Pelodiscus sinensis: one gene and its partner. The protein of the gene in region 1 interacts with the protein of each later gene in a biochemical or structural test. Links are inferred from orthologs where the notes say so. Each region holds a gene or a part of one and is shown on either strand. Other genes may lie near its edges.

Region 1 (7,729 bases):
TTTTACTTAAGATGGATCTGAATCCATTTGCACTTAGTGAGCAATCACAATGGCATCTGTGTGCAGAGTCTTTCAAATGAGACTGGAAGTAGAGGCACCTTCTGGTTGCGTTGGGCACCTAGTGTAATTTTATACACTTGTGAGTTTTATTATATAAAAGAACACCCAAGAATATGTAAATATCAGGTATTGGGCAACATTATACATGGAATATTTTCACAACCTTAGTCCTGTGGTAAGGGAGACATTAACACGGGGTGGGCAATAGATGAGGGGCCATTCCAAAAACTTGGGAAGTGGTCAAGAGCTGCACTTTTCTATGTTAATCGAGGGAGTGTGGGATCTGGGATGGAGGTTGAGTGAAGGAGGGAGGGTGGAGTGAGGGACTGGAGTGTAGGAGGGGGTTCAGAAAGTTAGGATTGTGACCAGGGCAGAAAGTTGGGGGGAGGAAGGGGACAGGGTGCCAGGTGCAGGTTCTAACGAGGAGGCACTTACCCTAGGTGACTCCCAGCTAACAGCCTAGCAAGACTTGCATGTGATCCAAGTAGCCAGCAGCTTTAAGTAGGCATCTCTGCATTACACACCTCTTGGGGAAGGGGAAACTTCACACATTTCTAGCCAATTGGAGCTACAAGACTCTGCTGAGGTGCGGGCAGTGAATGAAGCCTCCATGCCCCGACATGGGGCCCTTGGTGCTGTGATGTACAAGCACCAACAGCTGGCCACTTTGAAAGGCACATGGGGGTATAGCAGGCACGGTGCCTATTCAAGGATCAAGACATTGGCGACAGCCCATATTTTGCCTGCTCCACAATACAGAATACTGTTCTTGAACAAAAGGAGATTAGAGGAGTAATCCATAACCTTTCCCAAATACCCTCCCACATACTCACCTTAATACAAGCTTAATAATAAATATCTGATTGCTAAAAGTGTTAAGTAATGAACCCAAACTACCTGGCATTTAATCTAAAAGGCAAAAATCAATTAGCATATTTGACAACTTGAATCATTTGGTCTCATCCTTACCTGTCAATTGAGTCAACACTGAAGCAAAATAAATCTCGCTTATAGTCAAGATGTTTTGGGGTGCATCTGTAGATGTTCCCAAGGGTCATTGAACAGCCAGAGCAGAACAAAGTTTCAATCATGCTATAAGCAAATATATAACCACTTGTTTAGAAAGATGATTTAAATTGATTCCAATTCATTCACTTCTAATCTTACTTCGAAGAGAGTATCCACTACCACTGTGTCAGTAAATCACATTAGGAAAAAAGAGTGAAATGTGGTTATGTAATGCAAAAAATTACACATATTCATGTATATCTGTTTCATTTCATTCTATGAATCAGTATAGTCATGTTAGTCTGCAACTGCAGCATAATGAAAAATGTTTCAAATATGGCAGCTATATCAACACCTGAACTTCAGGCTTTAAGCCAACAAGGCCAATGCATCAGCACACACACATTTTACCATGCATTTGACAAAGTGGTTTGCCCCAATAAATCAGTTAGCCTTTAAGGTGCCACAGGATTCCTCATTTGTTTTACTCATTCCAAATATATAACCCTTGAACCCTATGCATGATCTTAGCAAGGTAAATTACTCAGCTATACAGCAGAATACTTTAGCCTATACTAGATAAAATTGACTTCCAAACTAGTATTTGGATTGAAATTTTTGGTAACTCCCTCCCAAGCAGTAACTAAAAGATCCTTATCCTATTTGGGGTTTTATGATTATGAACTGAATAAGTTTTCTTCCATTTTCATTCACCATTTAAGATTTGTGCAGGAGACATTTGAAGTCACATAATAAAACCCTTCTGATTGGGAGCATCGTTTCAGTGGCATGACCAATAGCAGCACCCATGGTGCACCATTACCCGCTGTTTCAAAGCCAGACCTCAAGAAGGTTCAGTCTGTGGCTGGTATCCACTGTGCCTATTCAGGCTGCACCAACCCAAGGGATATGTGCGTACTGAGGAATTGGCTTTGTTTTGCTTAACGAATCAAGTGCTGACTAAGGATGTAACAGAATAACCATTTAAACAGTTAACTGATCACTCTGGTGTTATCGGTACGGGAACGGTTACATGCAGGTTCCTGCCCCACTCTTGGGGAGTCAGCTGCCATCCTGCACCATGGCCTCTGTATCAGGGCTTACACTGCAGGGTGGCAGCCAGCTCCTTAGGAGCAGGGAGCCAGTACATGTCAGGAGCCGGGAGCCAATGCAGGCTGCAGGTGCGTGGAGCTGCTTTGAAGGTTTTCACCCAGTTACCCGCTTTTTAACATCCCTAGTGTTGATATAGCTACGCCATGGGCAACGCCTCCTGCTTCTCCCGTCTCGCGGCCGCCGTGCCCCGGCTGCTCTCCCCTTCCAGCAGTGGGGGAGGCCAGCGGTAGGGGGCTGGGATACTTCGGGCACGCCCCGGTCGTCATTCAGCGGTGCCCGCGACCCTGGATGTCCCGGCTGCCAGGCCCCTCGGCCCTGCCCACTCACCATCCGCACTCGCCGGGCCGGCTGGAGAGCTTCTGCTCCTTCTCTACCGACACGTTGGGGGAGGCGCCTGCAAGAGACAGGCGGGACCAACCGTCACTAACGGCCGCGGGCGGGCGGAGCGGAAGGAACGGGCTCGGAGCCGGCGGGGGCCGGCAGAGATTCGCTTCCCCCGCCAGCCTCGCGCGCGCGGGGACTCACTGCGCAGCAGGACGCAGCCGGTCTCCTCCTCGTTGGCCACCCAGCCCAGCGTGTCCCCCACGGGCCGCTTGCAGCCGGCGCACAGGAACACCATGGGCAGCTCCTCCGGCTCGTCGGGGGCCGCCGTGCCCCGGCTGCTCTCCGCCTCCAGCAGCGACAGCGACGCCTCCAGCCCCGCGCCCGGCGGCACGTATTGCGCGCCCGCCATCCCCCACCTTCAAACCGCCCGCCGCCCGGAAGCGGAAGCGGCGCGCACGAGCGGAGCGCAGAGGGGCAGGGACAAAGAGGAACCCCTGCCGGCGAAGCCCCGCCCCCTTCCCTTGTCTGAGCAGGGCGGGGACGGAGAAGAGCCCCGCCCCTTTCCGGCAGTGGTGGGGGCGGGGCTAAGTTCTCCTGGGTGCCGCGTGTCATATAGGGCCTGTGGCGCGTTTGCCCAGGTGACTGCGCCCCGCGCGCCCCTTGCGGCAGTGGCCCGGCCCGGCCCGGCACTGGCGGGTGGGAGGCGAGGGGAGGGGAGGGGAGGCTGCTGTTGCCCTGCCAGCCTGTTTTCCAGTCTAGGCTGATTTCTGGAACCAGTTTACGGAGACTGTGCCCCACCTGCGCTAGGGCAATCCTGCCACTTCAAGAGCCAAAGAGATCTATCGCCCAGCTGACCATGCCGCGCATGGCCACCCCGCCAGATTGGGCAGGAAGACATTCACCATCATCATCATCAACAACCACCATGGGCTCAACGCCCGTTGGTGTCTGATGCCTCCACTGCTGAGTCACTTAGTTTCTGTAGACTAGCTCCCCACCCATTCTCTGTGCAGTCTGCCTCTCCAAACTGGACTGTCCGTTATGCCGAATACCAGGGTCTTAACTTTTCACTCATTGTTCATTCTGCAGATATGCCCAAATAGCTGTAACTTCCATTGTATAACCTTCTGCAGTAGGTTTTTTTTTTGGCTGTATCTTCCTATATAATTCCTCGTTGGTGACCTTCTGCATCCATCATATTCTCAGTATCTTTCTATAACTCCTCTTGAACGTCAATATCCTTCTCTTTGAATCTTTCATTATCACCCATGTCTCACATCCCTAAACATGCTGCTAAATACACACATTTTCAAGATGCTCAATTCCATTCCTAAGCTAATCGCTTTACTTTTCCAGATCTTATCCATCAACTTCAAACTCGCTCTTGCTTTCGCTACTCTAGTCACTATTTCCTTCTTACAGTCTAGATCATATGTAATATTGCTCCCCAAATATTTGAACTTCTCTACATTCTCTAGTTTGATCCCATCTACACTGATCTTCCTTCCTATTTCTTTATCTCCAAATACCATTGTCTTTGTTTTATCAATATTCATAATCAGTCCATACCGCTTCCCTTCCTCATTTAGCACTTGCACTGTTCTCACTAGTTTCTCTTCATCTTCCTCGATAACTATAACATCCGTGAACCTCAAATTGTTAATTCTCATCCCGTGCACCAATATCCCTTCTACCTCTTTCTTGATCTTGTCCATCACACTCTCTAGGTGTGTGATGAAGATACTCAGCGATATCAGATCTCCTTGTCTCATATTTCTACTCATTCTAAACCAACTTCCCAACTCTCCAGTGCGCTTTTCCAATGCGCTTTTTGCAGTGTGGAGGAGCTTTTGCGCAAGAAGCCTGCGGTCTAGACGTAGCATCACTGGGCAAAACACATAGGCAATGTTTATTCTATTAGCTATGATATGTAGCTGTAGTACTGTAGTGCAGATCTTTCCTACATCAATTTCCCTCCTTAGATGTGTTACCAACCTCAATGGAAGAGTTTTTCCACTGATATACATCAAGGCTTATGTTGACCAAAATGCAGTGATCAGAATATGAATTTTTCATAGTCCTGAGTGATGTAGCGAAGTTGATCTACGTTTATACCAGGCCTTAGACCAAGAGTGGGCAATAATTTTTGATGGGGGGCAGGCACTCCCAAGAATTTGGTAAATAGTCAAGAGATGTACTCTTCCATGATATTAATGGAGGAGGTGTGGGATTGGGCATGGAGGTTATGTGTAGATGGGAGTTTGGGGCAAGGGAATGAAGTGCAGGAGGGGAATGGGATCTGAGAGGGAGTTTAGGTCCAGGGGATTGTGACCTGGGGCGGGGTACTGGGGCGCAGTGTCCAGAAGGAGATATGGGTGCAGGAGAGGATTCTGACCTGAAGGAGAGGTTTTGGAGGGGGGGTGCAGGTTCTGGGAGGGAAATGTGACCTGGAGCAGGAGTGCAGGAGAGCGAGCAGGGATTTGGATTGTGAAAGGGATAGGGAATTGGGGTTGCTAGCTCTGGGAGGGAGTTGTGACCTGGAGGAGGGGTGCAGGAGGTAGTACAGGGTCTGGGAGGGCGTTATCACCTGGGGCAGGGATGCAGGAGGTGTGCAGGGATTTGGGTTGTGACTAGGAGCAGAGGATTTGGGTGGAGGGGCTGGGATGGAGTATGGGTGCAGGAGTGGGAGTGCAAGTGTTTGGATTACATGGCGTAGAGTGAAGGAAGGGGGCATAGGATTGGGGGGAGGCAGGGCTGGAGTGCTGACACAGGCTCTAGCCAGGAGGTGTGTACGTGGGTGGGCTCCCGGCCAGCCTTCCAAGCTCCTGCACGCCGCTTAGAGCCATGTGTATTGCTCTGAACACTGCAAGCCCAGGGGAGTAGTACTTCACATGTAGCCTGTCCTGCAAACAGCTCCCATTGACCAGAAACATGGCAGCTATGAGATTGTGCTGGAGAAGGGGGCAGTGCATGAAACCTCTGCCTGTGCTCACAGCATTCTGAGAAACACACAGGGCAGTTTGTCGGAGCAGGGCAGGCAGGGTTGAGGCTCCTGCTGGCCCGCAGGCCAGATCCAGCCTGCAGGCTGTATTTTGCCTGCCCCTGCCTTAAACCCTGTCTTTTTGAGCACTAAGCACTAAGGTCTCCTCCAGCAAAGCTCACAGCAGGGCCACAGCCAGTTGCAGAAGGTACGGACACTGAGGTCAGCTCTGAGAAGACTCAGCTTATGGGACTTACTATGGTACCCAGTTGTCCATTCCCCTTTGCATATAAACCCAAAGTTATATGACATTTCCCTCCTTCCTTAATGTGAAAGAAGGTATATCAGCCTCTCCCATTCCCCCCTAGAAATTACATAAATTGGGTTACATTCATTATAACAAAAATATGTTTATTAACTAAGAAGACATGTATTTTAAGCAGTTAAAGAAGTGGCAAACAGAACAAAGCAATTACTAAAAATATAATGCAAAATGCATAATCTAAACTAGATTTACTACAGATTTGGTTACGGATAATAATTTCTCACCCAAAATAGTTTTTCAGGTAAAGTCTTTCAGTCAGAGGTGTTCTTTCTGGCCTGTGGCCAGCAATTCTCTCCTCCCCCCCACTCTCTTACACTTTTATTTCCAGATTTCCAGGTTTCTCTTTGGGGTGGGAAGGCAGAAGTAAAACAAGCTGAAGACAATCACTGTTTTCTTTTTTTCCTTACATAAAATTTCCATAAGTCAGGGAAACCTTTGATTCTCCCACCTCCTTTTGGAACAGTTCATAAGAACAAGGAGTTGGTTAGTGTCAGGTGAAGCATTATAGACTCTCTTCCCAGGAAGGCCAAGCCTTTTTACTTTCCAGTGTAGTAGCTGATGAGCCATCAAGTCCATTGTAGCCCCTGATGTGGCAATAGTGGGAATGACCCAGAGCAGCAAATATGAAGTCTAGATACACAGGTCAATATTCTTAACTTCATCTACAAAAATAATACCTGCATACATATGGGATAATCATATTCAGTAAATCATAACCCTTCCAGTGATATCTTACATGAACCATCTTGCATAAAGCATATTTCAGTTCTCATTCTTATAATAAACATTTTCTTAACACATATGGAATGTCATCTCACAATATGTGTCATAGAGTCATTAATTTTTAGCAGAGCTTTTTTCAGTAGGTCAAGAATATCTCTTTCATGCCAAGGGCTTCATTGTTGCTAGTTACTCACTGGGCCTATCAGTTTGGCTTTTGTCCATTCTGTTACTGTTTACTTGGCACTCACGTTAATACAAAGCAGGGTGGGAATTGATAGTATATAATTACCCACCAGCTAGAGAGGATTACATTTGGTGTCTGTCATAGCCTGACTGTCATTTCTGCTAAAAGGTTCTGGTATCTAATCAGTCCTTGGGTTTCAGGATATGAAGACTTCCAGAATGATTTACACAGGCATCAATTATGCAATCTTTATATGAGAACACTGAAGTGTGGTGGAAAATAAAAGATAATTAGAGTGGAGCTCTGAGCTGATTCAAATGCACAATTGAAATGGCTATCAGAACAAACTCATCTGAGTATTATTTGTCTTATGAATATTACTGGGACTATTTGGATCCAGTACCTATAGATGAAAGGAAGTTGAAGGCTAATAAATGTAAGTATCGCATAGTAAGTAGCAGTTGCTGATTTAGTATGTGAAGAGTTTGATAAATAAAATAGGTTGAATAATCTCCCTTAATATCTTCACTGTTGTGTGGCATTCTGTAACATAATGCTATTTACTGGGCTATAGATATGTAATTTGTACAGATGAGCATCTTGAGTTTTTCAACTCAGCACTAATTGGGTTCTATTGTAGGTTAATACTAATACTGCAATATTATTTCATTTACTCTACAATATATACATTTGAGAGAGATTTGTATATTAACCCAGATAACTGGAAAGATAGTAAATTGTTAAAAACAAATCTATGTAAAAGCCTATTTTAAAATGTTTATCAGTAGATTGGTGTATTCCTGTTTGCATGATAGAATAGCAAAATAGCCTTTTGTTACACTATGTAGTTTTTTTTGTCAGTAATGGTTGTTTTTTCATGGAATACCATCCTTGCATTAAAACTGGTGTAAGTTTCTGGAGAAGTTAAATTTTGATTAGCCAGGAACAAGAAGCTGAACACACATACTTTTTAATTTCTTTTATCTCTTGTTCATATCTAATCATATTGATG
Region 2 (7,391 bases), on another chromosome or scaffold:
ATGGAATAAGAGGAAAGCGCCTCATGAACTGATTAAAAGAGGGGAAAAAAGGGGGAGTAATAAATGGTCAGTTTTCAGGGAAAAATAGTGATATTCCCCAGCCAGTGTTCCCTGTAAGCTGAGTGCTGGGATGGTCACCTCAGAGATTCAGATGCTGTCCTGCTGATTAGTAGAGCATCTACAGCTGCCCACAGCCAGCAGCATATGTTTCTACTGTGGATGTTCACATCCACACGTCTCAGTGCACATACAATTTATTCTACTCATGGATTGAAAAAAAATTTAGAAGGAACACTGCCCCCAAGGATCCATACAGACATTAGTGTTCAACATATTCATGAATAATCAGGAAAAAGTAGTAAAAAAGAAATTAGCAAAGTTTGCAGATACAAAATTACTCAAGTGAGCTAAGTCCAAAGCAGTGGCAAAGAGTTACAAAGGGATCTTTCAAAACAGGATGATGAGGCAATAAATTACATGTGATAATCAATGTTGATAAATGCAAAGCAATGCATATTGGAAAACCTAATCCCAATTACATATACAAAATGATAGGGTCTCAACTAGCTGTTACCACTTAAGGAAAAGATCTTGGCACTGTTGTGGATAGGTCCTGAAAACACCTACTCGATGTCTTAGCTTTTTCACTGCAGCTGCAATGTTAAGAATCATTAAAAAAGGGTTAGGCAATAAATAGTAAATATCATGCCACTGTATAAATCCATGGTATGACACTGACTATTTCATGCAGTTCTGTTACCCCTCACTTACAAAATATATTGGAAATGGAAAAGGTAGACTAGAGTACTACAAAAATGATTAACGTTGTGGAACAGCTTCCATATGAGGTTAAAAAAAGACTAGGATGTTTCAGCTTGAGAAAAAAAAGATAACTAGGTGAGGCTCTGAGAAAGGTCTATGAATGGTGCGATGAAAGTTTATATAACCCATTCACATAAACACATGAACCAACAGTCACCCAATTAAATTAACAGGCACCACTTTTACACCAACACACATTGTACCTCCAAACTCTGGCACTCCCTGGTCCAGCAACATCTCTGGTCCAGCAGGATCATGGATACTCCTGGACCAGAGAGCCCAGGAGCCTAAGGGCAGAAGGGCCAGCCTCCTGGGAACAGCACAGGACTGGAACCCCAATGCTGCATCCAGCAGCCCCTGGGAATGTGAGTCTGAGGCCAGAGCACCATGGCAGTGCAGGGTCAGAGTCCACGCAACAAACTCCAGGAGCACAGGGCTGGGCCTGGAGCCCCGCAGTTTACCCTGGCGGTGCAGAGTCCAACAGCTTCCCCCAGCTGCACAGGACTGGGGCTGAAGGTGCATGATCAGAGCCCCGCAACTTCCCTCATGTATGCAGGGCCAGAGTCGGAGCTCCAGCCCCGCAGCTGCCCTTGGCTGCGCAGTACCAGAGCTGCACAGCAGGAGCCTATGCCACCTAAGCAGCCAGCAGTAGCTGGGCAAGCAGCCCACCCATATTGGGGGTGGGGTGGGTGGACGAGGCAGGGTTGCCTGCCGGGGCATCCTGCCAGTAGCAGGTGACGGGCTTGGGGGCTGGAGATCTCCCCTAGTCTGGCAAATTCTCTTGTTTGGGACCAGTCAGGCTCCCACAATGCTGGACCAGGGAGGTCCAACCTGTATACGCAACTACTACACACAACGCACAGTCAACCTATGTAACTTTTCACCAGAAGAGGTCATAAAGACCAAAAGTATAACTGAGTTAAAAAATAAGGTGACAATGGATGAAAGGTCCATCAATTGTTATTAGCCAATATAGTCAGGGACACTTCATGCATTGGGCATTCTTAAGCCTCTACCTGCCAAAAGCTTGGCTAGGGCAGGGGATGGATCACTTGAGAATCACCCTATTCTGTTCATTGCCTCTGAAGCATCTGGTATTAGCCACCATAAGAAGACAAAAAAAAACAGAGTCCTGTGGCACCTTGCAGACTAATAGATTTATTTGGGCATAAGCTTTCATGGGCAAAACCCCACTTTGTCAGTTGCATTGATGAAGTAGTTTTTTGCCCAGTGTAGTCCCCTTACTAAAGGTAACTGACTTCTTCCAGGAGGATCGTGTGTGCTGCATTCTAGCCCTAGAGACTAACTCGCATGAGTCCTTGAGGAAACCAGGAACAGCTACATTCTAGGACTGAAAGTCTGCGGTGCTTAGATCTAGCAGGCTGCTGATTGCCCTAGCGGGAAGAGACTCTGGCTGCACCTGTGGCTGAGGAGGACTACACAAAAACCAGCACACAGAAGGAGGCTGCAAGTAAATAGGTTCTTTGAGAAAGTGCTGCCTAGGACAGACCTCAGAGATATAGGCTAACTCTGGGTCCAAAGAGAGGCAGAGTATCCAGCCCAGGGAACCAGAACTGCTGGCATTTGGTGGCACTTACTCCAGTAGCAGAGCGAGTTTGCAGCTGGCTACACAGCTTGGACTAGCACACACCCTACAGCAGTGTTTCTTAAACTGTATTCTGCGGCACACGGATGGGCCACAAGGCAATCGGAGGTGTGTCTCATAGAACAACAGAGTTCAAAATGGCCACCCTTAAAGGGGCAAACAACCTTTGGGGGGGGGGGGGGGAGGCTCAAAAAAATAATTGGTGTTCCTCAAAAAAAAATTATTGTTTGGTGTTCCCCAGTCTTAAAAAGTTTAAGAAACAATGCCCTACAGAGAACTTCCACTCCAGCTGCAGATCTTCAAGCACACACACACAAGCATCTGGGACTCTGAGTTCAGAGGAGTGCACACTCGAGGGTGGGATAAATCATGGCAGTGCAAATGCCAGATAGATAAATTCCTATCATTTCTGTGTACTTTGTTAATATTATTCACTGTTAATTTGTTAAACCCTGTTACTTTAAGTTGTTAAGTAAAGGTGCGTTCATTCAAATGTAATCAATTAGATGTATATTATTTATAATTTGTAATTGTTGTATTGGAATTAGACCCAGATTAATGCTGAAATAATTTTATTCCTGGAGGCTCCCAAGGCATACCATGAAGTGTGTACAGGGCCAGACAGTGTGTACACTGCCATTACATATTCTTTATGAGCCAGGGACTGCAGCAAGGGGGTGGAGAGGAAATCCCCAACTAACCATCACCACCACCAGGGTGCTCAGGAACTCTTTTTATGTTAAAACCATCAGGCACACCTGTGAGTGTGACCTGCTCCCAAGTAACCCGAGAAGGAAAAGAGGGGTTACACCAGGAAAGCTCACACCCAAATAAATCTGTTAGTGTTTAAGATGCCACAGGACACCCCCTTGTTTGAGGGCACAGACTAACACAGTTGCCCCTGAGACTGGTCAGTAAACAGGCTACTGAGCTAGCCAGACTCTTTGCCTTAAGAAGTTCACATGGACGCTTTGGGGCTGCGATCCCAACGCTGCTCCCTGTAAGTCTGACTCTGGAAGCCATAACGTGGTGACCACGACACTTGCGCCCTGTCCCTGCCCGGGCCGCCCGATAACTGGAGCACGGCGGGGACAGGGGCCCGGGAGTCCCCACGCCCAACCACAGAAGCGTCAGCCCCGCAGCTCTTCCACCCCCCGCTATCGCCTTTACTCGGTATCATCCCCACCTGCGCCAGAGAGGAGACCCGGCCCCGCAGCCGCCTGTCCCGTCCCCTCTCTGCTGGGTCCCCCCAGCTCCCCGGCCGAGGCGCCACCACCTCACCTTCAGGTTGGCCCGGAGGCCGGCGGCTTTGGCCAGCTGCTGCAGCTCGCTGTACTTGAGCGACTCCAGTTGCTGCAGCGAGGGCAGCTCCATGGCAGCAAAACAACGGGAACCAGCAACCGATCTGCGAGCGCCGCCGCCCGGGATAACGGCCGTGCCGAGGCTTCAAATCCCGCGCGCAACTGACGCCAAAAAGCAAGCTGCTATGTCCCACCCTCAGCATTCGAACTCGCCCTTCGCGCCCTGTCATTGGCTGGACAACCTATCAGTGGGCGTGGCTGCGACCCACAGACAGCCAATGGCATCCTGGAGAACGGGATTTGTATTAGTTTTCCTAACCTGATAAGCACTTGTCTATCAAAATACAGCCGCGCCCCAGCCCAACTCGCTCTCTGATTGGGAAGTAGAATGATTGGTCTTCTCCCCACCATCCAATGGTCGGAGTTAACGAGTCCCGTCTTGCGAGCGCCTGGTGAAGTGATTGATGTGTGTGCCACCCAATCGGATCGCAGAGCTGTAGGTCGCCCTCCAATTGGGATGGCAAGGGGGTGGGCGCTGGTTTCAAACCAGCAGCGCGGATAGCGGGTGAGCGAAGATGGCGGTGCGGAGATGCATCCAGGAGTTGTTTCAGGAGCCTCAGATTGGCGGTGCCATCACCTTCGAGCGGCCGGACGCACTGCGGAGCCGCGGCCGCCCGCCCCAGGCGGACACGGGCAAGCTGCGCGGCGCGGAGCCCCAGCAGGAGCCGTGGAACCCCGGGGCCAGGGCGCTGCTGCGCCGCGGGCTCCGGCTGGAGGATTGTGCCCTGCTCCACTGCCGGAGCTGCCGCGCGGTGCTGGCCGACTCGCTGCACCTCTGCGCCCAGGAGGACCGCTGCCTGCGAGTCCTCGTCTGCTTCAGTGAGTCCCCGCGCGGGCTCCGAAGCGTCTGTGCCTGGGCAGCGGGGCTGCGACTGGAGCCTGGGGCAGGATTCTCTCGCGCTCCCTTGCTCGATGGCCTGGGCTGGGCAGGGCTAGCTTGCACGGGCGCTGGTGCGAGCCTGCGGAGAGGAGTATGGCTGCTGCGGGCCTGGGGATCTAACTGCGGGCCTAGCATCCGTTCCATGGAGAGCGGCGGGTGGGTGAGCTCTGCCCGAGTGAGCTGGTCTCTTGTTTTCGCTGGCCCCTAATGCATGCTCGATGAGCACGAGATGTTTGGAGACTTCATCTAAAGTGACATAAGCGGGCTCTATCTGTTAACACCCGATCCGCTCTACTCGTTTTGCAAGTGAAACTGCAATCCTGCAAGTTCAGTTGGGACGTGAGCGGCTGTATAGCTGCTTCCTTCCCCTCACCTTGCTCCTGGCCAGCGACTGTTCGTTTCATTCCCACTCCGATCTGCCACTGCTTGCCAGTTGTCCCGTTCCTCTTCCTCGTGCACTAATGCAGGATACTCCCACTACCTGAATCTTTAAATAAATACACCTGTTTCGTGCTAGTAGCTGGCTCTGGCAACAAAAATCATTATTGTTCTTATACAAATTAGATATTAGAAAAGATTTGAATCTGGGATTCAGTCAGTCTGCATAAAAAGCACTGGAGGATTTTAATTTTCTATTAGTTCAAACATTTAAATTGATACATTAAAAAATATTTAGTAAGTTTAAAGTAAATATAGCACATAAATGAATCATTCCAAGCCTAAAGATAGGAAGTTTAAAACCTTAGTGTTGGGCACTAGCAGAAATACTGGTGAATGATCAGTGTTGTATAACTACCTATCTATGGGTTTATCTTCCCAGAAGTCACAAATGATGTTGTTTTGGAAGATTCTTTAATGGTCGGTATTGAAGGAGCCCTTCTGGGATGGTAGGTACCTCAGATGTTGCTTCTTGCTTTTAATGTTAGTTTTCAGTTTTTAGATGATCCTACAGCAGAGCAGAAAGGCAATAATGTGTTGCTTCTGAATTTTAGAACTATCTCTGGGCCAGAAGAAAATAAGTTTAGAAAATCCTTCCAACTCCCTCTTAAGAAGAGTCTTACAGAATTGAGAAGTAATTGAGATTGGCTTAGGACCTAACCACTGCTTTTTCAACTAAGAAAGCTTTGTAAATTGATAGCCTCTATTCTCAAGGGAATTCTGCATACTATTCTAAAATTCTGCATATTTTATTACTTAAAGTAGTATAATCACCCTGATTTCAAAAATTTTGGTGATTATATTTAAACTACAGTACAATGGATGAAGACTGGGCTTGGGGAGCATTGGAGGAAACCCCAAATCCCCTCTAATATAGCTAGTTACTAGTCAACAAGAATATGTAGTCATACGCTCATTGTTACATCATAGGCAAATTAAGAGCAAGTGAGGAATGGGGATTCAAACTCCCAATTTATACTGGCTATTGACCATCTCCAGAATGGTCAGTAGCAAACAGTTTATGGACCACATTTTGATAGGAAATCTTTTCAGTCCAAAAATTAAACCAGTTCTAATTACTAAAGTACCATAAGCATTTATAAGACCATACTGTCCTGTACAGTAAGGCCCCTTTACATCACTGGCAATATAAAAGAGCCATAACGTTTTTACACCTGTTTTATACTCCTGGGGGAATTCACTAAGAACAATGGGAAGAACTCACTAAGCAGGAAGGCTGCTACATTCTGCACCTTCTGAAGTTATGGAACCTGCCACACAACTACCTCCTCAGAAGCACCCCAAAGCCAGGCCTCTCCCCACCAGGCATACCACAAGCATAGTGTCTCAAATGCATAACTGTCCAGTCCTGCCTGCCCCAGCAGTGATTTGTATGCATCTATTGGCTGCTCTGAGTTCCCAAACCAATGTGCCTGCACTACTGGCAAGGGACTCATGACTGCTCTTGTGGCTTCCTTTTATTTTCCCCTCAGAAATCACTTTTCTGTAGGGAAGCAAAAGTTTGCCAGGGTCATGAATTCTGTGCTTTGCAGTGACACAACATTTCTCCGGGAATAATTTACCTCTTCACCCTCCCCTCCCCACACAAAACTAGGTTTTTGCCCTATTTACCATTGAGGTGGGGGGAGGAGGAGAAACTTTTGTGTTTAAAAAAAAAAGTGTGTCTAACTGTTAAGCTAGAAAATGTTTTTATATTCTGTCCTAGTGAAAGTAAACAAGTTTTGTTGTTAATTAATTAAACAATCAGTAGAAGCTGGTTCACCTAGCTATGATAATGCTCTTTTTTGGTCTATTTTGGGGTTAATCTACTGTATGTGTATGAGGAAATAAGTTAATCAAAATCCTATAGATAGGAAAGTGGCTATAGTAGAGTATTTGTACCAAGCATGGTTTACAATAGTATTTATTAGAATTGAATTTGAAGCAGGTATTACCACTTTCAAAGTTAAGTAGCTACAACCCCTTGAGCTGTCTACAAACTTGAAGCAGCAGTCCTGTATTTGTATTCTGCTTGGTTGATATTTGCAAGATTTGTCACAATTATAAAGGTTAGAAACCTTTTTTAAAGGAAAGTTTTGTATTCTGTAGAAGGTGATGGAACTTGCCTGGGACTGGCCGTAGGCATCTTGCACAGCCTGTAACTCTTACGCTAATACATAACTTAACAGGTATCTCAAGCCATTCTTATAGACATTTTTAGCTTTTCTCTAATGGGACAGAAAGGATAAGAAAAAAAAGGAAGCTTAATGGTTGTATCGCTAAT

Evidence for each region. The genes of interacting proteins can lie anywhere in the genome.
Region 2: the proteins of MIS18A (region 1) and OIP5 form a complex in vitro, tested with the Homo sapiens proteins (3 studies listed by BioGRID). The link is inferred for Pelodiscus sinensis from reciprocal best matches to the Homo sapiens genes MIS18A and OIP5.

The regions. Positions count from the first base shown.
Region 1 is NC_134711.1:182,550,196-182,557,924, forward strand, and holds the start of MIS18A (protein Mis18-alpha), read right to left. Parts: upstream 3,007-7,729; 5' UTR 2,915-3,006; coding exon 2,707-2,914; intron 2,576-2,706; coding exon 2,509-2,575; intron 1,153-2,508; coding exon 1,030-1,152; intron 1-1,029. Other genes in the region: MRAP (melanocortin-2 receptor accessory protein), read left to right, coding at 7,048-7,153. UniProt on the Homo sapiens protein: Required for recruitment of CENPA to centromeres and normal chromosome segregation during mitosis.
Region 2 is NC_134714.1:64,300,245-64,307,635, reverse strand, and holds the start of OIP5 (protein Mis18-beta), read left to right. Parts: upstream 1-4,286; 5' UTR 4,287-4,304; coding exon 4,305-4,608; intron 4,609-5,489; coding exon 5,490-5,556; intron 5,557-7,391. Other genes in the region: NUSAP1 (nucleolar and spindle-associated protein 1), read right to left, coding at 3,710-3,802. UniProt on the Homo sapiens protein: Required for recruitment of CENPA to centromeres and normal chromosome segregation during mitosis.